Linked DNA regions of Schizosaccharomyces pombe. Changing the gene in region 4 together with the main gene of any one other region gives a genetic interaction. Each region holds a gene or a part of one and is shown on either strand. Other genes may lie near its edges.

Region 1 (6,923 bases), 1.8 Mb from region 4:
AGATAGTAGAGGCAAATCCTGTAGAATATGCGAGTGCAAGTACATATCCCAGGAACCAACTTAAGAAGGCACGGTACTTTGGAGGAGAGAGATAAGCCGTCCAAAAATATAAACTGCCAGAAGTGGGCATTGATGATGCCAACTCGCTCAAAGCAAAAGCAATTGGAAGTAAACAAGTAGCACCCACAAACCAAGACCAAACCATACCTCCGGCGCCACAATTCATACTAAAGGCCATGGAGCCCACGAGAGAAGGACACAGGCCCATGGATCCAAAGGACTGACCAAACACGGCGAGTAGGGAAAATTCTCGTTTAAACTCTTGCTTATAACCAAGGTTCAATAGCATCTTATCGTCTTCTGTAACGGGGGCAGACTCACCAACCTCTATGTCCCCAACAGAGATATCGTGAAATTCTTTCTTCATCCCAATTGTTTCATCCATCTTTCCTAGACACAACTAACGATATATAAAACCAAACAATACAAAGTGCAGAACACGAAAGATTCCCCAGTTGAATACACACGAGGCAATAACTCCAATTGAATACCAATATTAAAAACAAAAATTGGTCACAGCAAAAGGTAGTGAGAAGGCAGTAAGCAGATAAATGGGATAGCGATATTGAGTCAAAATAGCAAAAAGCCAAATGATTAAACTCTTGATTAAGTATACGATTTCCTAAAAAATTTCCTGAGACAATTGAACGTAGAAGCCCGTTTTTATATTGCTAATTAAGATGATGATCATCTTTCTAATGTACTGCTTAATCTATTGATTAAGTAAGTTCTATTTAAATTCTGGATAGGATAAGAGATTTCAATAAGCTATTACCCTTTTCATTTATCTTGTCGAGGTTCATCTCTATGAAATAAGAAACAATAAGGCTTTAGATTTCCGCCAAACCTATCGATAGCTTATTTTCCTAACCACCCCCCTATGCTTGCAGTAAAATTTATCGGCCATTTTTCTCCATGGACTCCGTTATACAGTACTTCTGCAATACAGGCGCCGATATTCGCCATAAAATGAGTTATACGATTAGTAGATTTTTGATATGATGGGCTTGTATTAGCCCTAAATTTGAAAGTATATAAAGGCCAGTTTCACTGTCTTAGAACCGTAGCTACAAGAAATTATGAAAAGTGTTGAATGGTTTACATGGGGAGTTTTTCTGCTACTTTCTGGCTTTGGAGAAGCTGGGAGGATGGGCTTGGGCTTTCAGGAGAAGAATCCAGTTTTCGTAAAGGAAAAACAATCACCATTCTATGCTGTACCTAGTAACTATGAGGAAGTAGAATTCTCAAGTATAGTCGAACCTATGTATTCAGGGATTGCGACGTTTGGTCGTTTGGAGAATGTTGAATGTTTGAGTAAAAGGTCAGAGGACTTTGATATTGCCTTTATAGGAATGCCTTTCGATACAGGCACTTCTTACCGCCCTGGTGCTCGATTTGGTCCAAGCAGTTTGCGTGAAGGATCTCGACGCATAAATACTAAATACGGTGCAGTGAATGTACCTCTTGAAATCAATCCTTTCAAATCATGGGCAAAGCTTGTGGATTGTGGAGATATTCCAGTCACCACGTATGATATTCTTAAAGCTATGGATCAGTTAGAAAGTGCATATTTCCAGCTAATAGCTCGAAAGCCCTCCAGTTTTACTGACCATGATGGATTTGCAAAAAATGATACTGTGCTTCCTCGAGTCCTTTCACTCGGTGGTGACCATACCATTGTCCTTCCCATCTTACGAGCTTTGCATCGTGTTTACGGACAACCTATTTCAGTTATTCATTTCGATAGCCACTTAGACACGTGGGCTCCTGGATTGATTGGCGATGGCGATGAAGCAGATGGAATAAACCATGGTTCTTATTTCTACTTTGCTAGTCAAGAAGGTATTATGAGCAAAGATGCCAACATTCATGCTGGCATTCGTACTCCTATCTCTAGTTTCTCTGACTACGATGATGATGTTGATTGTGGTTTCAAAATCATTGAGGCTCGTGAAATTGATGATTTGGGGATTGATGGTATCGTCAAAAAGATTCGTGACAGAGTTGGTGATAATTTGGTATATTTATCCATTGATATTGATGTGCTTGATCCTGCATTTGCACCCGCTACGGGTACTCCTGAAACTGGCGGTTGGTCATCTAGAGAAATGAGAGCAATTTTACGTGGTTTGCAAGGTCTGAAATTCGTAGGCGCTGACCTTGTCGAAGTAGCTCCCGCTTACGATGTTGCAGAAATAACATCCTTGGCTGGTGCGCAATTGTTATTTGACATTGTATCTATGATGGTGAAATATCCTTTGGTAAAAGAGGCTGATTTATCTCGTTACATGCCAATACATAAATAATTGAAATAACTGGTTTATTTAATATTCAATATTTATATCGACATCATAGATACAGATACAGAAATGAGCATGTTCAAAAAAAATCATTATTCATTATATTATTAACATATCATACGCAAGTATATCGTTAGAGACAGCTGAGCGTCATCTATCTTGTATCACATAAAGTAAAAGACAAATGTAGCAGAAACGGGTTTTCTTAACCACCCAAGAGTGTTTTGTAAATATTTGCAAATGAACCCATTAAAACATCTCATCTCCCTTTTGTTATTTTTGCCATCATTCACCAAAAAATCACTTCTTTTATATAAGCGTAATGTGACGAAAATGCTTCGTCTGAGTGGACGTAGACATTCTATTCAGAAATGATTGAAAAGATACTATAAATTGGTAAACCAAAAATAAAAAGAAGCGTACATAAAATGTAAAAGACCAACCAGGAATAAACTTATCGAATTCAACTTTTTACTTTTAAATATATAATACATCTGTCCTTCAGTGTTTCTTCGGCCTAACAGGCTTTGTATAATCGGCAAGTTTTGACGTTTTCCAGAGATACCATGCTGCTGCAGTACGAAAAGGTGCACATATTTCACTATGCTTAAGAACATACATCTTGGTTGGAATTTTTGGTAATCGGTGTAGATATCGGTATCCATTACGAATACTCAAATCGTCAGCTGGCATAACATCATCACGATTCAACGAAAAGATGAGTAACATTTCTACTGTCCATCTTCCGATTCCTTTAATCTGAGTAAGTCGTTCTATCAATTCTTCATTTGAGAGCCTTTCAGCTTCTTCTTTAGTAGGAATCAAACCGCTGATTGTTGCCTCAGCAATGCTTTTTAATGAATCAATTTTACGAGCTGAAAATCCACAGGCACGCATTATTTCAAAATCCATATCACGAATTTCCTCTGGTGTTGGAAATTGGCCATTGTTAGAAATACTTTTAAAGCGATTGAAAATTGCGTTAGCAGCTTTACTATGCAATTGTTGAGATGCTACCGCACGAATTAATTCTTCATAAGGCTCTTTTTTCTCCATACTTCGATTGGGTCGATAATTACCAACGAGCTTCACGAGCCGTTTCCAATTCTCATCCAATCCAGAAAGATGGATTTCTGCTTTTGTGAGTGAAGTGACTATCTCTTCTTTCTCTTCAATGTCCAAAGTCATAATAGCAAAGATTCAATTGATCAAAAATTTATCACTCATTATGTGCTTTTGACTAAACGGTAAGGGTTTTCATTCCTTAGGAATTGCACTGCAATTCGTTATTTATGTAAGCAAGTCCTAAGCTAAAAAAAAGGAATCTTGAAGCAAATTCAACATTCTTAGATGTAATTTGAAACTTCAATTAAATTTTCATCTGGATCGCGAAAATAAATAGAGAGGATAACTCCTTCAGCTCCAGCCCTTGTAATAGGACCTTCTTCTATGAGAACATTTTGCTTTTTTAAGTGAGCAATGACTTGCTCTAAGGGTGTTTTAGCTATTAGGCAAATATCATTTGACCCAGGAGTCAGTATGTGTGATTTTGGGTCAATCTCATTACCCTTTTGATGCAAGTTGATTTTTTATGACCGAAACCGAGTGCCTTGCGATTGTTTCCAAATGCGATAACCGACATTCCTAATGTGCGCTCATAGAACTCACAGGTGGCTTCTACGTCTTGGACAGTGAAAACAATATGGTGGAAACGATCAATTTATATAATATCTTTTTCCATTAGTTAGTATCAAAGATCTTTTATAGATGTAAAATGTTGTAAAGGAGAGTCAGAGGAAACTAACCACTTCCGTTAAACAAGTAACAACTCTTCGACCTTAGAGTATATGACAGATTAAAGAAATATTGGGCGTTCAATAAGGCATAAAATGGATAAAACGATGGAATAGCTATAAAGAAAGCATAGTGTTTTAAGAATTATTCATCCACCTTACTAAGCTTACTTTCTCTAATTAGCATTGACGTTGAACATAAAGAAGCTTTGCAGTTGTCTTCATAATACAATTGAAGTAACTATACGCCTTAATTTACAATGACAGAAGTATGGAGATGAATATTGTTATATAATCTTAACACGTATAAAATGGATAAATGCGCTATGAAGGGAATGGGATAAACATTAAGTCTTAATTTGTAAAACAGTAGATTAGTAACTGGAATTGTTCTCAATATACCTTTTATAGCATTTCAAAAGTAACTTCAAAGATAAAAAATATCACAAAAGTTATCAAACTCCAACTTTGAGGAAGCTTTTGATAGCTTAAGGGTATGCTTTTGAATTTAAAACATTACTTTTGTTAAATCTCCATTGCGAGATTTTGTCGAATATTTCATCCGGATCACAATTATCTAAACTGTTCTACGTGACTTTTAGCGCTAAAGTCATATTCTATGTATTACGAATCTTTATTGATCAATGAAGCTTCTTAAAGCCGTTATAAGTTGATTTATCAACCATTTCAAAGCTTCTGGTGAAGATTTTGGCCCGACATTATGTGTAGCTCCCGGTATGATGCCGCTTAAGGAACTATTAGAAGTTGTAGGACGAATTGATTCGCGAAATCGGTTCAGTAATTGTGCTTTATCAGTTGATGGCGAGACGAACTCGTCCCTTTCCGACATAAGCAGTATCAACTGACTATGTGCTGTGGAGCCGGAGATTTCTTTGAGATTACCAAAAGTTTTAGCGAAATCATCGGCGCTCAGGTCAGAGGAGAAAAAGTCATCATTTCCGCGGACATCTGTCAAGTCAATGCATCGATTTGCAGATGTCGGAACTTCACCAAAAAAATTCTCTACCTTGCTTCTAGGTAAAACATCATTTCCTAGTCCTTTGTCAAGATATTCTGCTTTAACCCAGTCAACCAATTCCTTTGTTTTTTCTTTCCCGTTAAATTGATACGCGGCTTCTCTATCCGATACTGGAGCTTGTGCTATTCCGGCGATTAAGTAGTTTGGAAGAATGGACTGTGTAAGATAGTATAGTACATTCTGCGATCCCGTGGAATGTCCCATCAAAACGATTTTGCGAGTAGAAAAGTCCGCGCCTCCAATGTGCAAAAAATAGTCCACTGCCTTGTGTAAATCCTCGTCATCTCGTTTCAAACTTCCCGTTCCCCATCCTATATACGAGGACTGAGTTTGAACCTGTACAATACTCCAACCAATTTCATCTAATGGATTGACCAGTTCTTGAACATATGGTACTGTCAAAAGACCATCGCCAAGTCCCCCGACAAATAACAATAATGATCGAGTTACGTTGGATGTAAGTGTAACGTTACTTTTTCCAACTAGCTCGAAAGCAACAAGCCTTTCTGTGTACTCATGGAGAATACCAGGATGCGAGGCTGACATCGTGCAATAAATAAAAGAATCAAATTTTTAGATGTTGAAAGTTGAATAATTTTCGCCTAACCTTACAAAGTAGATATTCATACGATGCTCAAATACGAGATATGAGCAAGGATTATATCTTATCCATTATCAGCAAAACAACAACTAAGCTCACTATTTTGATCGCGTGCTTTATAATATAATTACAATCCGGTTTACAATCAAGTTTAAGATATGATTATAGAAATCTCATATAGAAGGATTGAATTAGTAAATTTAGGTATTGAAGCTTGGAGTTGATTGTACAAAAGTTAATCAATTCAAGAGTTTAAGGCGTTCGAAACTATTTGCTTAGTATTTTCCAAAAATTATTGTTTATAGATCATTCAGCTACTATAAAGTACGAATTTTGCAATTCCTTCTTTTGCTTTTGCTTTATGTAGCTTTCCATAAACCACTATGGATTTCAAATAATGATGGTCGCAGTTGGAACGAATTCACAAACCCAGCTTGGTAAAATGATTAATGAGAAAGAGATATATCGCTCTAAATGAAAGTTGGATAACATTATTACTAGCAGAAAAGTGGATATGTGCGATAATACAAGTTTAAAGATGCATACAATGGCAATTAACGATTTGAGTGGTGTCAATTTTGATTTGTATGATGTATCCAATCGAAAAAGATTGAGTAAGTTATATCTTGTACTGAACATCATAAAATTGCAATTAGACGAAAATACAGTAAACGTTTATCTACTCACTACAATTACTACTACTGAGAGAATACATTACAATAAACCTTTTCACAACAGTGACCACATAACTAAACAAAAGTGATTTTTATTTTCACATAGAATAAATTATGTAAGACGATAAACGACTACAATTAACCAGGAGTTTCAAGACCGTGTTTGAGATAACTTATCTAAAGGGATTAGCTTTTCGCAGCAAATCGCATTAACAGGAGAGTTTCATACGTAAAGACCCGTCTTTTTCGTCAATTAATAGGGATCAAAAAACGAGAGAATTTAAGCAAAGTATTGAAGGAACTTGACACCGATGTCTCCAACAACTTGGGTCTGAGTGGGCAAAGTACCGTTGGGGAAAGAGTTCAAGGTAGTGTTCAAAGCACTTGCAAAGGTGAAGGCAGGCTCAACGAGAGGGCTGTAACCAGAAGTGAAAGTAGCGACACATTGTCCATAAA
Region 2 (8,396 bases), on a different chromosome or scaffold from region 4:
GGAATAAACAGCGGTCGAGATAGCTTTCTATCGTGACTGTAAACAAACGGTATAGCAATATTGTGATAAATTTGTTCAACCGTTGTCTAATACAAATCATCATGTCCGCCGTCAACACTAAAGCCTACAGAATGAAGGTACTTGCCCTTCTCACGTATATTTTTCTTCTTCTCTTCTTCATGAAGCTTCGCCAAAGGATACAGTTCTTCAGCAGGCATACGTCGCAATTGTTTGACTGCATCATACTCCTTATCCAAATCCTTTTCGAAATATTTAGCCCACGTTCAAAGAAATTTATAAAGATGCTCGAATATTTTATGTTACAAACGAAACTTACCAATTCACCTAAAAGCACGACGTTCTCGCCCCGAACAATATACACACCTCTGTCTATGTCCCCGTACATATCATCCACATAGATCCTCTCAATCGTGTATTGCAACATTAAATTTGCTACACAGTTAGTAAACTCACTTATGCGCCTATTCACGCAAACCATACCAAATTGATCAAAGGACCTTAAAATTCCAATCAGTTTTTTTCCATCTCGTAAAACAACAATCACTTTTCCTAAAAGGTAAAGTTAGATCAAGGAAAACATTGGAAAAAACACCGTACTGTCTACGTAGTCAACAAGTGACCCAGAAGTTGTGAATGGGATAATCTGTGTAGCTTGATTCATTCAGCTATTATTTGGATGTAGCATAAACTAATAATTTAATTTAGATTTAACTTTCTATTTCTTTTATAAACGCCTGATGACTTTATTTGAGTGTTTTCCTTAAAAAACGAGTTCGAGGAGATGGTTAGAAGCAAGTGCTCTGAGGTCGTCAAATCTGGAATCCTAAATTCTCCCTGTTTAACCCTAAAAGTGCTTCTGAAGTTTAAATGTTATTCGTTTGTTATGTTTTTTTGCTAATTGTAAATTAAATTATTTGGTTTTTCCATTTCTAAACTTGCCCATCATTGAATGTTGTAATCTGACTTTCTAGTTATAAAGGGAAGTCGGTCTTCACAAAAATTAAAGAACAAAAACATGTATATTTTTGATCACAGATTGTAAAAAGGGAATCTAATTATACTCAAGCTACCTAACAATTTTTCAGCATCATAAGCGGATTAGTTCATTGAAAGGCTCAACATTTTGCGAAGAACAGAAATAAATAATTTGATGATTTTTATCAATTCCAAAATCGAACTTGTAAAAATGTTGCCAATCCCATTTGTAATATCCCTATTCTGAGCTATTTCGACTGAGAAGAGATTGCCTATTATTCTCTTAGAACGTTCATTGAACGTTTTTGGAGTGTTCTGAAAAAAGATAATAAATTTAGTTGTTTTTATCTATTAATTACAATCAAAAATCGAGCCTTTAATAATGTATTGTATGGTTATCAAAAAGCTTTATTTATTTCTAACAACGCTAAAAAACTTTTTTTTTTACTCATTTAATATAAACAAAACAGTACAACTATTTAGTTTTAAGAAATTTGATAGCATTTCTACAAATGTTTCAACTCTAAGGCTCTCTCGGATTCTGCTCATAACGCACAGATAGTGTTTAGTGAAAATTGACAGAAATAGGCGACTCAGTGAATTTATTATACATTAATTAGCTAAAAAGAAGCAACCGCCTTTCTCTGTGATTATCGTTTGGTGACCATAGGATGATATTTGGATTGGATTTATAAAAGACTTGTATACAGCGTTTGTAAAAGATCTAGCGGCTGGAAAATCAATATGAATCAAGATAAATCGAAAGAAACTTCCGAATTGGATGATCTGGCGCTTCCTCGATCGATCATTATGCGATTAGTCAAAGGTGTCTTACCTGAAAAGAGTCTTGTACAAAAAGAAGCTCTCAAGGCTATGATCAATTCAGCAACTCTTTTTGTTAGTTTTCTAACATCCGCGTATGTAATCTATATAACTATATAACCATATTGAAGGGCTTGTATGATGAAAGAATTTATTATATAATTGCCAATTTTATTTTCTTCTGGAAACACTTTGTATATGAATGAATAAAGACTAACGTTACTTAGTTCTGGGGAAATTGCTACGAATAATAACAGAAAAATTCTTATGCCTCAAGACGTTTTGAATGCGCTCGATGAAATTGAGTATCCAGAATTCTCTAAAACGTTAAAAAAACATCTCGAAGGTATGTTTCTTACTCTGTACTTCTTCTAACTATTAAAGCATATGAGCTTGCCTTGAAAGAAAAACGATTGAAACTCCCTAACGTATCAGATGTTGATAACAGAAAGAAAGCCAAAATAGACGCGCATGACACTACTCCTCTAGATGAAGAAAAAGACGAATTAGAAGAAGAACGAATTGCGGAGGATATAGCACAAAATGAAGTTGAGCAAAATATTGATGATGTGGAGGACCTCGAAGAAGTGAATGATACATTAGACGCAAACGCAGAATCTCCTCAAATAGAAACCATTCATCTTACAGATGCTACGGGAAACCCAATTGAAGATAGCTCTGAATCCGACTCAGAAGAATCTCTTCAACTTAATGATTCTTCGTAATTACTGTTGGTTAAATGTATATGAAGATTGTCAATAGTCCTAACTTACATGGAGAGCTAATCATATTTTTTTACACGAAAAACTAAACCTTCTTTATTTTTTAATGGATTTTTTGGATACCTGTTAATACCCCAATTTACATCCTTGTATCCAAACATAGCTTTTTTAAACAGCAGTTTGAGATAATGTCTTTCTAGCACAACATGTATACTCGTTTAATGACATATATTTAGAAAGAATCATTAGATTGTTTACAGTTGTAACTCAATATTAGTCAATCTAGAATTTTTTTGAAAATCAACATTCAATAGGGAGAAGGTCGAAAAGAAAAGAAAAAGTTCATTCTCGAATTAAACAAATGCATTTTATTTTCCATCAGATTAACTTATGTCAACAATTGTAAATTCAAAAGTCTGTCGCCTTTACCTTCGCACACTTTCTCTACGTAAAAATTATAAGAATGCGAATTCTAAGTTGGAATGTGAACGGTATACAGAATCCATTCAATTATTTTCCATGGAATAAAAAAAATTCCTACAAAGAGATATTTCAAGAGTTACAGGCTGATGTAATATGTGTTCAAGAATTGAAAATGCAGAAAGACAGCTTTCCTCAACAATATGCAGTTGTTGAGGGATTCGACAGTTATTTTACATTTCCTAAGATCAGAAAAGGCTATAGTGGGGTTGGATTTTATGTAAAAAAAGATGTTGCTATTCCAGTGAAAGCAGAAGAGGGAATTACTGGCATCCTGCCAGTACGAGGACAAAAATATTCATATTCAGAAGCACCGGAGCATGAAAAGATAGGATTTTTCCCAAAAGACATTGACAGAAAAACTGCTAATTGGATTGATAGTGAAGGAAGGTGTATATTATTAGATTTTCAGATGTTCATCCTAATCGGTGTTTACTGTCCAGTAAACTCTGGAGAAAATAGACTAGAATATCGACGGGCCTTTTATAAAGCCTTACGAGAAAGAATTGAAAGATTGATAAAGGAAGGAAATCGAAAAATCATTCTCGTTGGGGATGTGAATATTTTGTGTAATCCTATTGACACTGCTGATCAAAAAGACATTATTCGAGAGAGTCTTATTCCAAGCATCATGGAATCAAGACAATGGATACGTGATTTATTACTACCAAGCAGGTTGGGACTACTGTTGGACATTGGCCGTATTCAACATCCTACTCGGAAAGGAATGTTTACATGTTGGAATACAAGACTTAATACAAGGCCCACAAATTATGGTAAGTTCTGAATTGTTATTTTTTTTACAATGGATAGGTACGAGAATTGATTACACTTTGGCAACACCCGATTTATTACCTTGGGTTCAAGATGCAGATATTATGGCTGAGGTCATGGGTTCAGATCATTGCCCCGTATATTTAGATTTAAAAGAAGAATATGAAGGAAAAAAGTTGTCCAACTTTCTAAGTCACTCAAAAGAACCACCTTTACTATCAACGGCGCATCATTCAGCCTATCGGCCATCAAAAAATATTCATTCAATGTTCCAACATTTCAATTCGATGAAAAAGAATAAAAACAACTCACCCACTCAGAGCGAAAACGTATCTGCTTCTGCGTCCAGCGGCTCCTCACCAACTGTTTCTCGTGCAAACTCTGTCATAGACGTCGATGCCTACCCACCGGAAAAGAGAAGACGAAAAGAACAATCGAAGCTTCTTTCATTTTTTGCGAAGCAAAAGGAAGAGAAAGAAGAAACCAATAAAACAGAAGACGTTTCGATTGAGGTCCTTGATAACAATAATGAATCTGACATAGGGTTGACAGTAAAAAAAAAAGTAGAAAACGGGAACGCCTGGAAGCAAATATTCAGTGAACGAGCTCCTCCACTTTGTGAGGGTCACAAGGAACCTTGCAAGTATTTGACAGTGAGGAAGCCGGGAATCAATTACGGGCGGAAGTTTTGGATTTGTGCCAGACCGGTTGGTGAACTGATTAAAAACTCAAATGCAGTTTCTGAGGAAGATACTCAACCGTTCCAATGCAGGTTCTTTATCTGGGACTCAGATTGGAGAGCAAATTCAAAGGACTGAAAATTTGTAATGACTAGCATAACTTGCTCTTAATCAATTCTCAATTTTGATGTGTATAAACCGCAAAAAGCATTGAGCAGTGCATCACACATCTTTCATTAACATTCTTAATATGTATATACGGAATTTTGTACGGTTAAGATTTCTTTTTTTGAGATCCGAGCATCATTTCCAAACATATAACTTTGTTTGGATGTACTTTTCTTCTGCACACCGGACATTTTTGTGTGGCAGCCGTTGTACCTAAAGCACTTAGTATACAAAAATTGCAAAATATATGCCCACAGGGAGTACAAGATAGGTTTTCCGGACTATCCAGACAAATTACACACTTATAATCAGCTAGTCGTTGTGAAGATGGAACAACCTGTTTTTTGCTAGGTTCTTCTTTTTCAATTTCGGCGTTGGTGGTCGATGGGTTCTTTCCCTGTTCAAATTTTTGTTTTCTTGGATCATAGGAAGTCTCATCAGTTAAATCAATCATATCGCTTATAGTAGTAGGTTGCGCGTGAATACTATTAACATTTGTTAAACTGTTTTCAACGGAAGCTGGATGATTGTTGTAGGTGAATCTTTGATTTATGTCATCAGCATCATTCTGAAAATTAATGTCTTCCAAGTCGAATACTTCACTTTCCACATCTATGTTTAAATCAGAGGTTTCAACAGGTAGTGTTTCTTCTTGTGCTAGCTCCGAAGCAACCTCTCTTAGCGACCTTGGTGCACGATTCAGTGGTAAAGACTCATTCTCAGAGGTAGTGCCTGAAGGATAGTCTGTTGCATCTTCTGAAACCGGAAATCCGTTTCCTGGCGAATTCTCTACTGGAGAAGAACGTCTCCTATTTATTGCTGCATTTCCAGCTGCGACTCTAGCGGATTGAGATGGGATATTGTATGGTGCAGATAAGTTTCTAACGTTGGTATCTCTCTTATGTGCGGGTGGCATTTTTTTGCCAATTGGTCCTGAAATTCGAAAATAGTTTATAGATTATTGATTAATGGGCTAATATTAGGATAATTTTGATCGTATCCTAATCGATTGTCAAATGCTTTTCAGGCTTGCTAGAATAATAAAAGAGAATTGTGTTAACGTCAATATACGCAAACAGCAATTATTTTGGCAACTTGCCAACAAGTTTAAAATTAAATTTAGTAGACCTATGATTTTTGAAGTCTACATGGAAAAATTGGCTCACTACCACAATGTTGTAAGATGCTAGTCTAATTAATATTTATGACCTTTTTCATGAGCACATTCAATAGCGCAAGCGGTATTTCAAATAAGAAAAGAGAACAGAAAAGCTGGTAAAACTTAATTGTGTATCAATAATCTTTTCAATGCAGTTCATTAAACTGCGCAACCGACATTATTATGAGTATTCCATAAACTATGCAAAAATGTATTATGGAGTGCATTAAGGAATGCTAAAATAAAAAAACGATAACAATGTATATCGCTATTTCTTTTCCAAATTGTTGAATATTAGAGGAGTGTATATACTTAGCATCAACCAACGCCTTTTTTTTAATCTAGGTCTGGGTAGACGCAATGGTCAAAAGCTATACGCGGTACGAACCAACCGAATTTTTTGGTGTCATTGCGTCTTCGGGATGTAATATTCTCGGTCAACCCTCTTCGTCTGCTAAATCTGTAGGCAGAGCCATTGTTGGCGGTCTTGAGTCTGTTTTGGAATGGGATTTAAAGACTGGGCAATTACTATCAAAATGGAAGGATTCTGATTGTTCGGCAAAAGTTACTTGTATTGCAAACTTTGATGAAATGTACGCTGTGGGCTATGCAGATGGTTCTATACGTCTTTGGAAAGATGGAGAGCTCTTAATAACTCTTAATGGTCATAAAAGTGCTGTTACTACCATGGATTTTGATAAAATGGGCACAAGATTGGCCAGTGGAAGCATGGATACCGACATTATTGTATGGGATATTGTAGCTGAAACCGGCTTGTTTAGACTACGTGGACACAAGGACCAAATTACCAAGCTTTTGTTCATTACACCTCCTTCGAAGAATACAGCTGAAGAAACAGTGGTGGACACAGATATTGATTCCGGCGACATGGACGTTGACAGTAAATCGTCTGATTCGTTTCTTTTGTCTGTTGGCAAAGATTCTTTTATGAAGCTTTGGGATTTGTCTATTCAGCATTGCGTTGAGACTCATGTCGACCACCAAGGCGAAATTTGGGCTATGTGTGTTTCACCAGACGCCAAACGGTGCCTCACTGCTGGTACCGGTTCTGATGTTAAAGTTTGGGAAATCAGTTTTCCAGATGACAATAATTTCACTCCAACTACTAAAGCATTTCAGCAATTAGGTACCTTTACCCGTCAAAGCCGTGACCGTCCCATCACCTTGGCTTACGACGTTTCAAACCGTTATGTTGTATTCCAAGCTCATGACCGTCTTCTGGAGGTTTTTCGCCTTCGATCAAGTGCGGAGCTCGAAAAGATTCTGAATCGACGACGCCGTCGTAAAAAGTCTGAGGACGTTTCGATCACGTTAAAAGACGAATATGAACCTTTTGCTCTAATTCGAACCACTGCTCGTGCTTCGTCTGTAGCTTGGATACCAGGAAATCGTACACCTACGTTGGTAACATCTCTTCAAAATAACTCAATTGAAGTTTACGCTTTGGATGTCAAATCTGAAGGTTCTGCTGCACCATTAACTGAACGGGCTTCGCGTATAAGTGCCATTGAAATTCCTGGTCATCGTGCTGACGTTCGTACCTTGGCTTTGTCCGCTAATCACGATGTGATTTTAAGCGGTGCTAACGGCTCTTTGAAGCTTTGGAACAAGAAAACCACATCTTGTATCCGTACAATCGAATGTGGTTATGTACTTGCTGCTAGCTTTATAAATAACGACAAGTGTATCGTATCCGCTTACAAATCAGGAGAACTTGAAGTCTATGACATTGCTAGCTCTTCTCTTATCGAACGTATCCAAGCTCACGATGGCGCGATTTGGGATTTAGCGGTTGGTCACGATGGCACTTACTTCGCGACTGCCTCTGCCGATCACACAGTCAAACTCTGGTCTCTAAAATCGTCTTTTGATTTCGTACCAGGTACCACTAGAAAAGTCACCACGTTGAAATTAGAGCAAACACGACAAATAGATTTCACAGACGATGTCCTTGCGGTTAAAATTTCACCTGATGGTCGTTTCGTTGCTGCTTCACTATTAGATAATACCGTCAAGGTATACTATTTGGATTCGTTGAAATTCTTTTTAAATCTTTATGGTCATAAGCTTCCAGTTCTCTCTATGGATATTTCTTATGACTCAAAGTTGCTGGTTACTTGCAGTGCCGACAAGAATGTCAAAATATGGGGTCTTGATTTTGGCGATTGCCACAAGTCTATATTTGCACATCAAGATTCTATTATGGAAGTCACATTTCAACCAGATACTTACAACTTTTTTACTTGTTCAAAAGATCGAGAAGTTCGTTATTGGGACGGTAAATCATTTGATCTAATTTTAAAACTTCGCGGTCATCACTCTGAAGTCTGGGCATTAGCTGTTGGTCCAACTTTTGTTGTTTCTGGCTCCCATGACCATTCAATACGTTTATGGGAACAAGGTGACGATTTGGTATTTCTAGAAGAAGAACGGGAACGTGAGCTTGAGGAGCAATATGAGTCAACGCTTGTTTCATCTTATGAAAATGCTGAAGCCGACGGAGAGGTTAAAGACGGAGACGTGGCAGCTGTCACGAAGCAAACAATTGAAAGCTTAAAAGACGGAGAAAAGATC
Region 3 (9,233 bases), on a different chromosome or scaffold from region 4:
CTTACGTATGAAATAGTGCTACATAATTGAAATGCTCAATGGGTTAAAGATTCGCTATTAGAAGTTAGAAACATAAAGCTCGACACAATTTTATATCTGTGTTTGCACTGAAGTAAATCTATGCACTTTGTTCTCATATAATTATAAGAATTATTATACTCAAATATAAAGTTTGCAGTCCTTCATATTATTAGTATCATTTCTTTAAAGTGTTTACTTTTAGCAAAAATTATTTCCTTACACAATATCTAGAAATCTAAACAAGTTGTGAGTCACTTTGTTAGAAAAAAAAAAAACGTCGAATAATCAGGACGGATTTAATTGTAAACATCACTCTGATTAGCATAGGAAATCTGGTCTCTTTGGTTTTGTTGTTTACTTGTCACAATTCTCAATTAGTAACTTTAGAAAAAATAACATTTTCTTACTCAAGCACTATGAATTTTGTTTGATATACGTTTATAAGAGAAGGAAATATGACCTTCATCCACTTGTTTTGATTTTATTCTGAATTGTAATTGTACATTAGGAAAAACCAATGTATATGTTATCTAACTACGGAGCAATCATTTGTACAAATACTTCCTTCAGAAAAATTTGGATGAGTTGTAATATTTATTAACAAGGTCTAATCTTTTTTAATCCAATCGTTCAAACCGTATCTATTACGGGCGATTTCGTAGGCCAAAAATTGCATACGAGGGACTAAGACTTGTTAGCTAAATAAAATAGAACATTAAAATATGGAAATTCATGGATCGCATAAACGATTTTTTTTAAAAAAATGGCACTTAAAAAATGGCCATGTTTCTTAGACCATTAAATTTGATTCCTAGTACATACCAAAAATAGTCGTTTCTTGCTCATACTCATCAGTATTCTTAATACGAAGAAGAGTACCAAAATTGTAATCGTCAACCTTCTTTTCATAGCGCATTAAAAATGGACGCCAGGCAGCTTTTCCTTTGGCGGACTTCATTTCATCCTCATTAACAAAAGAAGCTGTTTTAGGGTCTTTAAACTCGGGGAAGGTGTTTATTAAATCTTCAAAAATCTCATCATCGTATCTATTCAATAGTAAGCAATTTGAACTTTAAATTAAAGATGTAAATATATACTTACTTTGTCAGCTTTAACTCGCTTCCCTTGCGCATTTCCAAAAGACTCCAGTATATTTCTAAATTGTTATTTTTTATTCCATCATATTTTGCTCAACTTACGAGCCTGTTCAACAGCTTTTACTGCAAACTAAAATTTTTTAAATCAGTACATGCTTTACCAAAACTAAATACTTTCTACAACCACGTACCTGCATTTCAATCTAAAATCTGTAAGTATTATTAAATAAATAATAACCAAGGCTTACCTCGGCGGCATTTTCCGCATTTTCCGCATCAATTTTTGTACTTAACATTTCGAAAAATATTCTGTTTCTCCGTTTTTACTTTACTGCTGCTAAGTAGGTTGTAGTAGAAAGTGACATTAGGTAAGGTAACAAAGAGCAAGAAAAATTGTAAATAATCAAAACACGAATAAATCACAAAATATAAGCTATGTTGCTCAATTACTTTGTCTAAACACAGTTACAGCAGGAAAACTCAAAAAAATTTACTCAACAAAAAATTACAGTAACTTCTTTTATAGGAACAACCAGTTAAGTAAACAAATAAATAAATAATTTATTAAACTTATTTTCTTCTTCTTTTGCTGGGTTTTTTTAGTAAGCTAGTACTAAGCTTGGTTTTTCTAGGTAGATTCTCAATAGAAATTGAAGAAGAATTCGTCTTCGGAGTTAAACTTGCTAAAAAGTTATCTTCAGAGTCTGAATCTGAATCAGAGGAATTTTTGCTTGCCATCATTTTCTTCCTTCTAAGAATACGGCTTTGTAGTTCATCTGATCCTTTAGATTCACCAAATGCATCTGCGTCTGCCTGAATTTCTTCACTCATTGGGCTTTGATTGCTAATCTGATTTTTAAAAGATGAAAGAGCATTTTCAAGCCGTTTACTCTTAAAATGGTATGCAACTCTCGGCGCATATACATTAGTATTACCACCTTCAAAAAACTGAGTCAAATTGGACTGTGTACCCACGAATTGCTTTTTATGCATGTCTTGTATAACCGGAAGTAAAACTTCATTAGTTCGTTGTTTTGACCAACCCACAGTAGCCATCAAAAACTGGCGTAACTCGTCAAGGTCGGGTATGCCCCATTGAAACGATTGCTTGCTATCATCCACGGCCGGATGAAGATAAGCTTCATCAACTAACGGATTAGGAAATTCTGATGGTAAAATAATTTTTCCAACCAACTTGTTAATTCTCTTTTTTACTGGCGTATTAACATCATTTTTTGATGCGTGTCCAGTTGATAAACGTTGAAACCATTTTTTAAATTCAAAAAGTCCAGTGTCACCAGGAAATTCATGTAAAATCTCCAGTGCAAGAACTGGACCTACCCTAGAAAGTCCCATAGTATAATCACTTCCCAAAAGATGTGCCAACTTAATTAAATCCATTTGATTCACATTAAATTCTCTTTTCATATCATCCATTAAATAGAGTTCGACAAATTTGTTCTGATTAAACATATTTCGATATACCCGAGTTCCACCAAAAAGAAACACGTCTGAGTCATCAGTAACAATCCCATCAACCAGCTTTAGCTCCAAAAGTTTAGAACACTGGGCTTCTGCTTCTTGAGGAGCAACGATATATGGTAAGCCAAATAAACGCAGAAGTTCTTGACATTCTTTAATCATTACTTGAGTGACCTCATCCGCATCACGTTTTTCAGACCTTTTTTGATTTTTGAGCTCTTTCAACCTTTTTTCAAAGGCCTCTTGATTCCACTCTTCAGTTTCATGTCGTTGATTGAGTTCTGAAACAAACCGATCATATTCCTTTTCTTCTTCTGCCATCCTGATAATCATTTCCTCTTCTTCCTCATCTAAAAGTTTTTCAACCACTTCAGGCTCTACTTTCGAACTCAAGGCAGCAGCTCCTTTATTTGGAGAGGCTTCTTTTTGAAAGTCAGTTGGAATGCTAAGTGAAGGGCTGCTGGTCTCTAAAGTAGGAAGAACAGCGTCAATTGATTCGGATTTGATATCCCCAGTATCCTTAGCATTTTCGGAGCTCAATAAATACACTGACATGGCCTTATCACTAGAAACATTTAATGGGTTGGTAACTGTGCCATCATCAGCTTGTTCTTTCATATTCTCAAAGGGTTCCAAAGGATTGAGTTCACGTAAGTCTAAATCTTTTTCATCATCTTTTACCGGAAGAAGAGGTGAAATAATTGGATTTTCAATTCCAGGTTTAGCAGCGTCTAAATCGGATTCAATATTAACTGTTGCATTAATAGTATGTAAATTTGTATCTTCCACAAGTTTAGAATTATCCGGTGCCTCACTTGGTATATCAGTTTTAGAATCCATAAATGTTTCAGTTGGTTTCTTTAATTTCTCGAAAAAAATAGACTTTCCCCAATCCATAGGCTGAAAAGGTAAAGGATCAATTAAATCATTGGTTTTTTTCTCTCTACTCGCAGATGGAAGGGCATCCATAAAAATTGAAGTCCCATTTTCAGGATGCTTTTTTTCCGCGAATGCTAATGAATCATTGGAAACATCTCCAACATGTTCAAGTTTCAAATTTTCCTCGTCGTTAAGAAGTGAATTCATTGAATCCTCTGCAGGAATATCGGTCGACAAAATTTCAAACGTCTTTTTCTCGCTATTCAACTTATCAAACTCAGAAGCCGAAAGACTAAACAGCTCTTTTGATTTTTTGTTTTCCTCTAGAGATTGCTGGGTTGCTAATTGAAGTATTAAATCATCAGTAACATTATAATCTGCTTCATCTGATTGCTGATTTTCCGAAAATGAATTTTCTTTTATTTCCTTTAATTTAGCGGCTACCAATTCTCTAGGGTTCATGCTATGAGATCGGCTAGGTAAAGGCACATCGTAGAATGCCTCATCCTCGTCTTCGTCTATAAGATTGCTGCTAAGTTTTGTAGCCTCATCATCAATAATAATAGGTTCATTGTTTGTAGATCCTGAGATAACACCGAGAGCCCATCCACCTTCAGCACCTTCGTTTTTTACTAAAATATATTCTCGGTTTTTTTCACTTACTACTCTAGAGGGTCCAAACTCATTCATTCCAGTAAAGTCCATTAATCTCTGAGTTAAATCGTTACGTTCCTTCAGTCTCTCAATTTGAAAACGAGAGAAATCCATTCTATTAGGAAACATCTCGGAAAGTTGTTCAGAGCTTAAACCCATTCGTAAACGAGAGCGTAATCTTGCTGCACTTAAAATACTATATTTATCCGTATCGGGTAATGATTGAAATAATTCAGAGTCAAAATCAATATTTGAAAAATCAAATAAATTTATATCTTCAATTTTAGTAAAACTAGAGACATATTGTGTAAGCTCATCCTGGGACATAATTCGAGGGTCGTAACTCGACCCTAACTTATCAAACGAAACGTCCATTTCAGGTAGTTGGTATGGATCAGGCTTCAAATAATTTTTTCTTTGATTAAGTACTGGCTTAATTTCTGAATTATCCAATGTCATAGATGAAGGCATTTGTCTCTCATTTTGAACCGAGGCATTTGCCAATGCAGTAGCTTTTTTATTATTTTCCTCTAAAAGCATTGCCTGATGCCTCATTTGCAAAGCCAGAAGTTTATTGGCCGTGACCGTGGCATTTTCCTCCCTGTCGAGTCTTCTGGCTTGTCTTTTTTGGATAGTTTGGCGTTTCAATGACGGCGCTCCTCCATCAAAAACAAATACAGGTTTAATCCCAAAAAATAATAGTTTGCATATCCTTCTAAAAAATCCTACAACATGACTGCTTTTCAGCTGGTTTCCTTCTTTGTCACGTACGGCCTTTAAGAATTGATAAATCCAAATTGAAGCGTCAATTGCCAACCGTTTGTTAACAAGTGTTTCTAGCTTGACAGGCCTTTTTACCGGTTCTAAAATATCCCAAAGACCTGAAACCCCCATTGCAAAATATTATATGCGATGTCAAGAAGTTTCGTTGTAGACGACTTTATTTTTGATTATTATACGAAGAAATGTGATTAAAGCAAGCCTTTTTCTTTACCCTTTTTCTTCTTTTTTAATTAAAATCGTTATAAAAGACATGTTTTACCAACAAAGCGATAAAACAAGGGCATGTGCGATGATTGATGCTAACACTTTAGTGTGTGGCACTTGACTTGAGCCAATTACCACATTAAACTGATAGGGCTGCCTAAATCATATGGTCAAAAGAAGATTGTCTGCATTTGGAAATGCCTTTTTAATTTATTTTATTATATTTCGGTTATGCTGCTGCTCTCCACAAACGAGTCATTGGTGTAAATATCCGGCATTGTGTTTGAAGTCACCAGATACGCATAACGAAAATTTGGTATGTGATGCGTACCTTTCTGTGATTGCTACCAAATCTGAAGAAAAAGAAGCTAGCAACCCTACAACATGGGATTTCACTCCCACAAATAAGTACCAGGAACCTTCGTTTCACACAAAAACGAGTTTGAATGGAAGTGATACCATTTCTTCTAATTTTTTGTCAAAATATGAATATTCCAATGGAACAAGTACTAGCGAATTTATAGATTCAATTAGCCCACCATTGGTGAACGAGACGTCTACAATTTCATCCTCAAAGAAGCTAGAGCAAAACTATTCTGTAACGGAAGTTATTGATACTAATATTATTACTAGTTCTTCGGTTACTCTACCAATTTCTGAGGATGGTTCCTCTACTTCAGCAGCAGCTACAATTGATTCAAATATAGATGAAAAGACTGTTGCATTCTCAGAAGAAAAAAGATTCAACTTTGCTTCAACTGACTGCGCTGCTGCTGTCATTAAAACAAATCCTGAAGCAGTCGGATCTTCTTCGATTCTGACCGAAAACAAAGACAAATATATGCTGAACAAATGTTCCGCTGAAAACAAGTTCGTGGTAATTGAACTTTGTGAGGATATTTATGTCGATACAGTTCAAATTGCCAACTTCGAATTTTTTTCAAGTATATTTCGTGATTTCAAGGTCAGTGTAAGCGGTAAATATCCAAAATACGAGTCTTCTTGGATGGAATTGGGTACATTTACGGCCTTAAACCTAAGGACTCTTCAATCTTTTCATATTGAGAACCCTCTTATTTGGGCGAAGTATCTTAAAATAGAGTTTTTAACTCATTATGGGTCAGAATTTTATTGTCCTGTAAGCCTACTTAGGGTTTATGGAAAAACTATGATAGAAGAATTTGAAGAAGCAAATGAAGACTTCTTAGAACAAAAAGTGAACGACGGAAGCGCTATTAAAGCAGATGAAATCCGGAAGCCTCAAGAAAGTCCTATTTTTGTGGACGAAGAAGATACCGATGTTCAAAGCAAACCAGTGAGAAAGAATCCATCAGTCGAGTTGAATAGTACAGACACCTTACTTTCTTCTACTGTGATATCTAAGTCTTTGAGCACTGTTGTTATAGGAAATGAAACAGGAAAAAGTGAATCATATCCTGCAACATCAACTCGCTCTTTTAACGATATTTCTCCATCTTCTTCATCTTCTTACAGTACCGCTCAAATATCTACCTTTCCTTCTAATCAGGAAAGCATTTACAAAAACATAAATAAGCGTCTTTCTACCTTAGAAGAACGGAAGAAGGCATTTGATGAAATTGTAGAAAAAATATTAACAAATTATGGTAAGCACAATGCCAAAAACATGAATTTTACGCAGCTATTACATGAATTGAACTCGACCCTTCAATTAGAAATTTCGAAATTGTCGAAAAGTGTCGTTAAGCCGTCTTTGTTTGCTCTCCAAGCTAAACTTGAGCTTCTTTCTGCAGAAAATGAATACTTTCAGAGTCAAATTACTTCACTATATCAAGAATCATCTTTTCAAAAGCGACTTTTAATGCTTCAACTCACGGTTCTAATCGTTTTAACAGTGTATATGGCCGTATCGAGGCTTCCAGAAAATCTGCCAACAACCCGTTCATCTTCAAACAACCCTATTGAGGCTTCAAGACCACCTTTTTCACGTGACGAGCAAGATATTTCGAAGGCCAACGATTTTCGCGTTAGCGCTTCCTCAGCGGTTTATACCGTTGGACCTGAACTACTGCAAAGAAAAAAGCGAGATCCAAATACCAGCATACGCAGTATACACGAAAGAGAACAAGATAAAATTATACATTCTAGGAGCCATTCAGTATGCTAATCATAGAATGTATTGTGAAACTTCCATATTTTTTCATAAGTTAATGATTTAAATTCATATTAAAATTAGAAAAATGAATTATTTATTTAAAAACTGAAAAGCATATATTAAAGTTATTTTTTTAGTTTTGCAAAAATCATAACTTTAAAGAGTGGCATTGGGTTATATAGGTTCCAACGACATTAATGTACTTCACGGCTACGAAGCACTAGTGTGACTAGAAATTCTCGAGTCTAGAAACTAAGGCGAGTGATACCCTTAAGACAAAGTATTTATATGGCTACTGAAATTGCAAAACATATTTGTTGCGGTATAGATTGTAATAATGAAGCTGACAGACTGCAATGTCCCAAATGTCTAAATGACGGAGTTAAATCTTACTTTTGTGGACAGGTAATTTAGTTTTTCTGTTAGTTTACGTATTTACTAATTCAAAAAAAAAAAGGAATGCTTCAGGAACAGCTGGGTAATACAAGAAAATTTCGTGTAACGTAAATTAACACTAGGTAATCCAGAATATTCACAAACATCTTCATCGTCCACCGAATGTAGAAAAGAGAGGTACGTACAACAAAAGTATATAGCTTTTATTTTCAAGCGTTTTTCTAATTTGTTCATCAGAGGATGGAACTTACAATCCTTTCCCAAAATTTCATTTCGCAGGTTCATTGAAACCAGTTTATCCGCTTTCGCCTATACGCAAGGTTCCTCCACATATAAAAAGACCTGACTATGCGAAGACAGGAGTCTCTCGTAGCGAGCAAATTGAAGGTCGAAGCTTCAAACTGAAGAGATTGACACCCAAGGAGCAGGAAGGTATGCGTAAAGTATGTAGACTTGGTAGAGAGGTACTTGATGCTGCCGCTGCTGCCGTCCGTCCTGGAACAACTACCGATGAACTTGATAGTATTGTTCATAATGCATGCATTGAACGTGATTGTTTTCCAAGCACCCTTAACTATTACGCGTTCCCAAAAAGTGTTTGTACTTCTGTGAACGAAATCATCTGTCACGGAATTCCAGATCAAAGGCCACTTGAGGATGGTGATATTGTAAACATTGATGTTTCCCTTTACCATAACGGTTTTCATGGTGACCTAAATGAGACTTACTATGTTGGAGATAAAGCAAAAGCAAATCCTGACCTCGTTTGCCTTGTAGAAAATACGAGAATTGCTTTGGATAAAGCAATTGCTGCGGTAAAACCGGGAGTATTGTTTCAGGAATTCGGAAATATTATTGAAAAGCATACAAATAGCATTACTGAGAAGCAGATTTCTGTCGTCCGCACATATTGTGGACATGGAATCAACCAGTTATTTCACTGTTCTCCTAGTATTCCTCATTATTCCCACAACAAGGCACCTGGAATTGCTCGCCCAGGAATGACTTTTACAATCGAACCTATGCTTACTCTAGGTCCCGCCCGAGACATTACCTGGCCGGATGATTGGACTAGTTCAACTGCATCTGGACGCTGTTCTGCTCAATTCGAACATACACTGTTAGTTACAGAGACTGGTTGTGAAGTTTTAACAGCCAGACTCCCCAATTCACCTGGAGGGCCCTTAAAATAAATTTTGATATACCCAACATGAATTAAAATAAAAGCAGAAAATTTTTCTTTGTATATGAAATTTATAAGTAAAAGGCTGAAAGAATTATATATGAGATTTCCTTCCTTTAACCAGAATAATGACACTTGTACAAACACATTGACTATATTACATACTTGCTGAAAAATGTGAGGTGCATACCCAAATCAAAAGCCTTCGTAGTCGACTATGAACCAATTTCCAACAATCACTAACCTTTATTACGTAAATCCAATAATGACTATTTACCTCTGTCGTTCATTAAGTCTTCAAAATAATTAGCGTCACTCTTTTCGTTTGGCGCGACTTTCAGAAATACCTGACCTATCATAAGCAAGGCATTAGCGCGATTTATCCTTTTCTCAAGAGGAA
Region 4 (7,173 bases):
CCATTGTTTATTTGAACTTCATTACAAATAAGTTGGAAAGAATAATAAAATACCTCGCGCTAACTACTGTATAGTGTGTCTTGCGCTAGTGTACAATGAGTTTATGATACTAGCAAAGCTACACAACAGCCACAGAAAAAAAAGCATTGTTTGTTTCCAAACTGTGACGATTTTTTATACCTGTATTTCCAGTGTAATTGGATCATTGCAATTATATTTTCTTTAGCAAAGTACTAAAGAAGTCTGTTTATCGCCTTTAATAGCATACAAGTTCAATCAATTATAGCTGTTAGGCCATCTAGGAAATATAAACAAAGGAAAGACCAAATTTTCATTCATATTTATAGCTATGACTAGTTAATGCATGAATAATTAAATTTAACAAAATTAAAAATAAAAAAGCTCTAATAAATGTGAGATTTCAGCTCTTCATGGATACGTGCAGTATTTATATATGACTAGACAGTGAGTTGTAGTGAGAAGTGAATAAGCGAGATATAGTGATGATCAATCTCATTTCGCTAGCAAAACATAATTGGAGTAACAGCAGCAAACGATTTATAAGTTGCGTTAAATCTCACCTAAATTCCAAACACGCGTGTTGAACTTACACATTCGCATTTTTTGCCATTTGCTTCATTTTTTCATTTGTTTTTTACATGAGCATATGAATGATTTAAAACCTAATGCCGAATTCATCGTACTATGACGACGATGGCGGTTCTTTTGAAGCGGCATCATATCCTTTTCAATTCGACGGTAGTCGTCGATTTCCCAATGATTTGCATCCAACGATGTTTGAGGGGGAGGAATCTAATCAAAATGGAGGCTCTGTGCTAATAGATCAAGCCTTTCAGGATATACAAAATCCTAACGTGAATTCAAACATGCATTTGGAAAATCAGTTCCAACACTTTCACGAGCCAAACAAGGAGTCAGGTGCTTTCGGTTCGTACAAAAATGATGATGTTGCTAAAGAAATAGAATCTAGTAAAAATCAGGAAACCGATGCAAAAAGCGAACAGGCACCTTTCACTGAAGACGCATCTTCATCTAATTATGCGCATCATAGAAGTGCTGATTCCCAAACAAAATCTGCGTTACCCCCAAATGTTCCTGCAAGTTCATCGCCATTACCTCCTATGTCAATTGCTATGAACATTGCTCGGAAAAGATCATGGCCTGCCAGTTTGGCTATTGAACGTGACAACACCGCTGACGCCCTCTTTTCTACTGAAGATGGTAGGGAAGAGCAATTTAATTTGGAAGGTGTCAAAACAAAATCAGGAAGAAAAGTGCATCGCCCTAATCATTTCGATCCCCTTGTAAAATTACCTACTAGACGACGTGGCCCAGGTCGTCGACCTGTGGTCGCATTAGCTATGAAATGTTCGGTTTGTCAACGACTTCAATCTCCACCAAAAAATCGCATCGTTTTCTGTGATGGTTGTAACACTCCATTCCATCAACTTTGTCATGAACCCTATATTTCTGATGAACTTTTAGATTCCCCCAATGGAGAATGGTTTTGTGATGATTGCATTAGGAGAAAAAAGCAAGCGCCTCTCGTAACTGGAACTACGGCACGAGAACTAAATCTGTCTTCGGAAGAGAAAAAGTCTTATCTTTTAAGTCTTCCGATCTCCCAACTGGTTGACATCCTATTATTCTGTGAGCAATTACATCCCGACATCCCGTTCTATAGTCCTAAAACTTCCACTATTGTCCAAGAGCTCCAAAGCAAAAGGTCTGCCTTTACAGCTACTATGAATGAACCTGTAACGGGAGATCAGTATCTAAGTCTAAATAATGGAACAGAATCACAATCGAAAACAACCAAGCATTCGACGTCCTTACCTTCGACCGAACCAGTTGAAGTGGATAAGCAATACATGGAGAGTGAAAAAATTCCTACCATAGATGAATACTTACAAGAATATAGCAATGAAGATGAAATAGTTTTACAAGTTTTAGAATCTTTCCCTGCTGCTGTTTCTTTTTCTACTATCACTAACACTATTCAAGCGTAAGTTTTCTATATATTTTCCTGACATCGTCAATTACTAATATTCTAGTAAATACTCGAATAGAAAAATTAAAAATTCGAACATAACTCGAAGCTTAAACAGACTGGTCCGTAAAAACCGTGTTTTACGTGATGCGAGGGGTAGCAGCTATGAACTGAACAGAACGTTTGATGCCGATCGACCATCAGTGCGCCCTGACATATCTATAACCGGCCCCATTCCTATCGATTGGATGCTGTATACGCCTCACACAGAGGATTTAACCGAAAACTTTTGTACTTATTATATGTTCGACGAAACTCCAATTGTTCTTAGTAGTATTTAACGAGTATCTTACATTCTGCATTGTTTGTTGAAGGGTATAACAACATTAATGATTTCAATTTATTCCAAGATTTAAAAAAATTATTAAAAAGTAAAGGTAGAGGATATTATAACTATACAGTCAGTAGCAAAAGGTTCTTGAATATGTTTAAAGACGGAGTTGTAAAGAATAAATAATTTTGAGTAATTCATGTAAATAAATAACAGATTTATGTTGTCCAAAATTTACGGTCCTAAAAATAAATTAAACCAGATCTTCAATATCTTGTAAACTTTGTTGGGAGAAATACTGGGATGATTTTTTTGCAACTCGCTTTGACCTGCGCAGTGACCTAGTTTCTTTTGTAGTTGAATGGAATGCGACAGGTGGCTTCTGATCTACATCAATATCAGCGGCTGGTTCTTTTTTCAAAGGTTCATTCATGTGTGATATACTATCAACAGGGTCCAAGTCCTCAAGTTTTATAAGTGATTTATCTTCGATGCTTTGGTAATACAAATCATCTGTAGGAAGGGAGAGTGGAGATAGAGGAGGTGACTCAGAAGCAGGTCTTTTTTTGACTCTTTTAATCGTTTTGACTTTTCTCTTAGTTATTGTGATGCCACTTTTTTCTTTAAAGGCGCTAGGACACAAGCCCTTAGAAGATAAAGTACACATATCACAGCGCCTTCCTCTTGGTAAACAGATTGTTTGCCCAAAACCGACAAGTGTATGGTTCAGCTCAAACCATAATTCCTTAGGCAGCCAGCTTTGCAAAGCAGCTCTAGTCTGTTCTTCAGTTTTCGTATTACACCAATGAAGAAGATTACATATACGATGTACGTGAACATCTACTCCAATTCCAACAGTTTTATTCCATGCAATACTCATACATAGATATCCCATTTTAGGCCCCACACCTGGGAGAGTCATTAGGTCTTCTACGGTGTCCGGAATATCTCCTTGGAACTTTTCTGATAAAATACGTGCCATTTGTTTCAAATAAATGGTTTTTCGGTTATGAAAACCAACTTTCTCGATTAGTTTATTTAGAGAAACTTCATCAATATTTTGGATATCTTCTAAACAAAGTCCTCCAGCTAATTTTTCTTTTAAGTTTCGCATGGTAGGACCCAGTACTATATCTTTTGTTTGGCTAGAAAGCATCAATGCCACCAGTGTTTGAAATCGAAATTTTTTTGGATCATTACGTTCTCCTAATGTATGACAACCCTGAACGTCTACAGGCGCTACGACCTTGGCTTTCATTTTACAAATTTCATCGTAAACCTCCCTCCAGTTCTCAGGAGGAGTTCCGTAGTCTTTACTCATTGCTTAACAAATACAAATTTGTCTGCAGTCTTGGCTAAAGATTTTATTTTCTTCAACAACTCATTTACTGAACTTTAGCGATATTACATCCAAGAAACAACGCAGGTGAGCGCAAAAATATTAAAATTTATAAGTGATTTGTTTTGAATACAATGCGGTAATAGTCTGACTTGGAGTTTCTCAATTTTATAAAAGAAATAATTTTTTAACTAAGCCATATATATGCCAAGGCGAAATTCTCCTACGCATTAAGAAACAAACACTCATTATATTTTACTGCTTCTTTTTCAAAAAGTCAGCTTAAGAATCATCAGAATGCTATGGGAGACATTACTTTAGGTCCTCCATCATACAGAAGGGAGGAAAGTAGAGTTTAAAAAAAAAACAAAAATTAGATTAATTAAAGATCACGAATTGCTAGTATTATGGAAACAAATGATTTTTACAGCAGTACTACAGCTATAGGGCAAATTATCCTGTAAGACAGTATTATTAATTTACTTTTGCTATAAAACAATATCCATACTAAAGAGGTAAATCAATATTAGCTTCGATGAACTCTTCCACATCACAAAGTTTCGGTACTTTATCTATAGCTTATGCGTACAAACACCGTAAAGCCCGTAGTAGGTAGTATCTGTTTGGAATTGGAGAAGGCCCCCTTATAGCTTGTGGTAGCCACCTTGCCTGCATTTTTGTCCCTTCATCACGATCAGCTCTAATTTCATGGACAACGAAATAGTCGCATTATGCGGCTTCTTCGTAGCCATTGCTTTAGTGCTATCATGTATTTCTATCATTACTCATTTGAAAAATTACAAAAAACCAGTCTTACAGCGTTCTGTGGTGCGAATTTTGATGATGTTCGTAAAATTGAAATTCTTTGACTGATATAGAAATGTACTAATGCTTTGCTAGGATTGTAATTTACTCTTCTGTATCGTTTTTATCGGTATACAATGAAAAAATTGGAAGTATTTTCGAACCGTTTCGTGAAATTTACGAGGTAGGTTTTTCTCATTTAGCCGTTGCCATTGAATGAAGTACCTTCCTTGGCAATCAATATATTGCAGATTTGTTTTAAAATGCTTGAAAAGGGGTTGACTGAAAGAGTGGTTTGGCTGTTATGAGTTGTACTATGTTGGTTTACTAGTTTAGTTAGTTAATGAGGCGTAATTGAGGTTTTAATGGAATAATTTCTAACAATAAATTAGGCATTCGCTTTGTATTGCTTTTTCTGTTTATTAATTGATTATCTTGGCGGAGAACGGGCTGCAGTTATTAGTTTGCATGGACATCTGCCTCGTCCTAGGTTATGGCCCTTGAATTATTTGCAAGATGATATTGACCTAAGTGATCCTTACACCTTCCTTTCTATAAAACGTGGGATTTTACAATACACTTGGCTTAAACCATTTCTGGTGATTGCCGTGCTGTTAACAAAAGTCACCGGAGTCTACGACAGAGAAGATCAACCTGTTTATGCTTCTGCAGACCTTTGGATAGGTCTTGTTTATAACATTTCAATTACGCTTTCTTTATATTCACTAACAACTTTTTGGGTTTGCTTGCATGAAGAGCTCGCTCCTTTTCGCCCTTTCCCAAAATTCCTTTCCGTTAAAGCTATTATATTTGCCTCTTACTGGCAGCAAACCGTTCTTTCCATTACAAACTGGCTGGGACTTTTAAATGGAACAGGCTGGATTTACTCCTTACTAAATCAGAACGTTCTCATGTGTTTAGAAATGCCCTTTTTTGCCCTCTCACATTGGTACGCTTTTCGAATCGAGGATTACGATACACCCACATGGCTGTCTTGTGCAAGACTACCGCTCCTTAAAGCCTTTAAAGACGTAATCGGGTTGAAAGACGTCTGGTGCGATAGTTTGCAAACTCTACATGGAGATCGTTATGTATATCAAAATTTTGAGCCTGGGGAGAACTTAATACCTTCAAGAAACGATGGAAGGATTAATAGAACAAGTCATGGTCTTCGGTACAGTCAGGGAGGTCAATCGAAATACTGGATTTCTCGATATGATCAATCTCGAGTGCGTCTCATTAACAATAGTCAAAACTCTCCACAATCAAATAAGTCCTACTTTTCTATCCCAGGGATGTCAACTTCACATTTCGAAAATGGGCTCCAATTTGAAATAGACGATGAAATGGAACCATTATACAATCAAGCGAAACAGATGCGTTATGGTGATTATAATTATCCAGTTCTTCTAGTGAACAATACTCATGCATCTTCTTCATATACATAAAAGTCACTAGAACCTAGTAGCAAAAGAACTTAATGTATTGCTGAATGGCATTGCATTGGACCGTTTGGTTTTTGGCATTTGATTCTGAGCTGCCAAAACAATTTCATTCAGATTTGTCTCTAAGACAAGACCACCAGATACTACCTCAGCAAGAATAGCATGTATTTCTTGGAATTTAAAAACCTATATTGTGTTAGATCTTTCTAATTCGCTTTCAAACAGATGGCTTTCAACTCTTCTAATTATTTCTTCCTTCAATATCCTTTTTTTTTGGCGTATACACTTGTATTTGGATAATTATTACTAACACCTCCTCTTTTTTTTCATTGGAGATTGCGAATCATCGACAATGAGACTCTACTTCCAGTTCTATGCATAATTTCTTTCTTGAAGGCGATGAGAAGTAAAGGAATTAGGAATTAAACTCTTGTAGTTCCTAAGTTCAATAAATGATAAAAATAAATGTTATGCTCTTTTGATAATCGAATATTGGACAAACATTAATGTTTCTTGTAAGGCCAAATTTCCAAACATTCGAAACCAAATAAGAAAAAAACAAATTAAATAAAAAAAAACGGAATCAATGGTTTCAAACATATAGCAGTAGGATAATGGGAAGATAAACGAGTAGTGAAATGTACTTACCAAATCAAGCTCGCAAACATTATTAAAGCATCGATCTAATGCTTCAACAAATACCTTTAATAGTTAGAAATTGGAAAGTAACTAATTTCAACTTACTTGAATGAGATCGAGAATTCCTAGTTCACTTTCACCTTCATCTACTACAAAAACGAAGTAGAGAGTAGCGTACTGGCGATAAATTATTCTATTTTTACCTGCAATTAAATTACTTTCCAAAAAATTACAAGCGGTTGGGGGCCTAGTGGATACAGCTGCATATATATCTCCTATTAACTTTTGTTGAATGGATTCATCAATTGGAGTGTAAAACTTTGTGAGACGAGGTTTCCCTTTATTGTTAAATATAAAAACAGCGTAAATCATGACAATAGAAAGGGAAAGCTGGCAGAACCCAAATATGCAGTGCTTGGTAAACGGCAAGCTGAAGTTTAAGTTGAATATACGTTAATAGTAGTTTGGAAGAACCAGGATCGACAAATTTCTTTCAATGCCTTAGTTAATTTGCTATATTTAAGATTTTCATGGTTTTATATTTATTGAGTATATTATTTATCCACTATTGAACCAAAGATCTGTTACTGAAATTCATAATGTC

What was found.
Region 1: of nth1 (region 4) and mag1, a mutation in one rescues a mutant of the other (synthetic rescue), as found in Schizosaccharomyces pombe (2 studies listed by BioGRID).
Region 2: of nth1 (region 4) and apn2, a mutation in one rescues a mutant of the other (synthetic rescue), as found in Schizosaccharomyces pombe (3 studies listed by BioGRID).
Region 3: mutations in nth1 (region 4) and rad13 impair growth when combined (synthetic growth defect), as found in Schizosaccharomyces pombe (2 studies listed by BioGRID, with this or other methods).

Annotation. Positions count from the first base shown.
Region 1 is NC_003424.3:2,951,277-2,958,199, forward strand, and holds mag1 (DNA-3-methyladenine glycosylase Mag1), read right to left. Parts: upstream 3,589-6,923; 5' UTR 3,549-3,588; coding exon 2,862-3,548; 3' UTR 2,452-2,861; downstream 1-2,451. Other genes in the region: SPOM_SPAPB24D3.02C (amino-acid permease), read right to left, coding at 1-445; SPOM_SPAPB24D3.03 (agmatinase), read left to right, coding at 1,140-2,366; SPOM_SPAPB24D3.06C (uncharacterized protein), read right to left, coding at 4,788-5,738; SPOM_SPAPB24D3.07C (uncharacterized protein), read right to left, coding at 6,748-6,923. UniProt on the Schizosaccharomyces pombe protein: Hydrolysis of the deoxyribose N-glycosidic bond to excise 3-methyladenine or 7-methyladenine from the damaged DNA polymer formed by alkylation lesions. Can release ethylated and propylated bases from DNA in addition to 3-methyladenine.
Region 2 is NC_003423.3:1,284,403-1,292,798, forward strand, and holds apn2 (AP-endonuclease Apn2), read left to right. Parts: upstream 1-2,986; 5' UTR 2,987-3,003; coding exon 3,004-3,796; exon of another isoform or gene 3,797-3,833; coding exon 3,834-4,612; 3' UTR 4,613-4,748; coding exon of another isoform or gene 4,749-5,558; 3' UTR 5,559-5,692; downstream 5,693-8,396. Other genes in the region: mRNA-decapping complex subunit Lsm1, read right to left, coding at 87-260, 338-453, 502-570, 619-682; DNA polymerase epsilon subunit Dpb4, read left to right, coding at 1,741-1,913, 2,046-2,164, 2,203-2,543; SUMO-targeted ubiquitin-protein ligase E3 Slx8, read right to left, coding at 4,749-5,558; U3 snoRNA associated protein Dip2, read left to right, coding at 6,162-8,396. UniProt on the Schizosaccharomyces pombe protein: DNA repair enzyme that cleaves apurinic/apyrimidinic (AP) sites and removes 3'-blocking groups present at single strand breaks of damaged DNA. Provides the majority of the AP-endonuclease (APE) activity. Repairs phleomycin D1-induced DNA damage.
Region 3 is NC_003423.3:2,671,331-2,680,563, forward strand, and holds rad13 (DNA repair nuclease Rad13), read right to left. Parts: upstream 5,240-9,233; 5' UTR 5,028-5,239; coding exon 1,689-5,027; 3' UTR 1,660-1,688; downstream 1-1,659. Other genes in the region: SPOM_SPBC3E7.07C (uncharacterized protein), read right to left, coding at 629-705, 844-1,067, 1,123-1,177, 1,221-1,248, 1,310-1,321, 1,367-1,414; SPOM_SPBC3E7.09 (Sad1-UNC-like protein), read left to right, coding at 5,287-7,266; methionine aminopeptidase Fma1, read left to right, coding at 7,543-7,659, 7,712-7,732, 7,782-7,827, 7,888-8,843; SPOM_SPBC3E7.11C (DNAJ domain-containing protein type Caj1/Djp1), read right to left, coding at 9,103-9,233. UniProt on the Schizosaccharomyces pombe protein: Single-stranded DNA endonuclease involved in excision repair of DNA damaged with UV light, bulky adducts, or cross-linking agents. Essential for the incision step of excision-repair.
Region 4 is NC_003424.3:1,104,178-1,111,350, forward strand, and holds nth1 (DNA endonuclease III), read right to left. Parts: upstream 3,700-7,173; 5' UTR 3,664-3,699; coding exon 2,596-3,663; 3' UTR 2,353-2,595; downstream 1-2,352. Other genes in the region: Lsd1/2 complex PHD finger domain-containing protein Phf2, read left to right, coding at 687-2,026, 2,076-2,352; transporter Hfl1, read left to right, coding at 4,390-4,526, 4,582-4,669, 4,878-5,933; AP-3 adaptor complex subunit Aps3, read right to left, coding at 5,940-6,116, 6,579-6,632, 6,675-6,941. UniProt on the Schizosaccharomyces pombe protein: Bifunctional DNA N-glycosylase with associated apurinic/apyrimidinic (AP) lyase function that catalyzes the first step in base excision repair (BER), the primary repair pathway for the repair of oxidative DNA damage.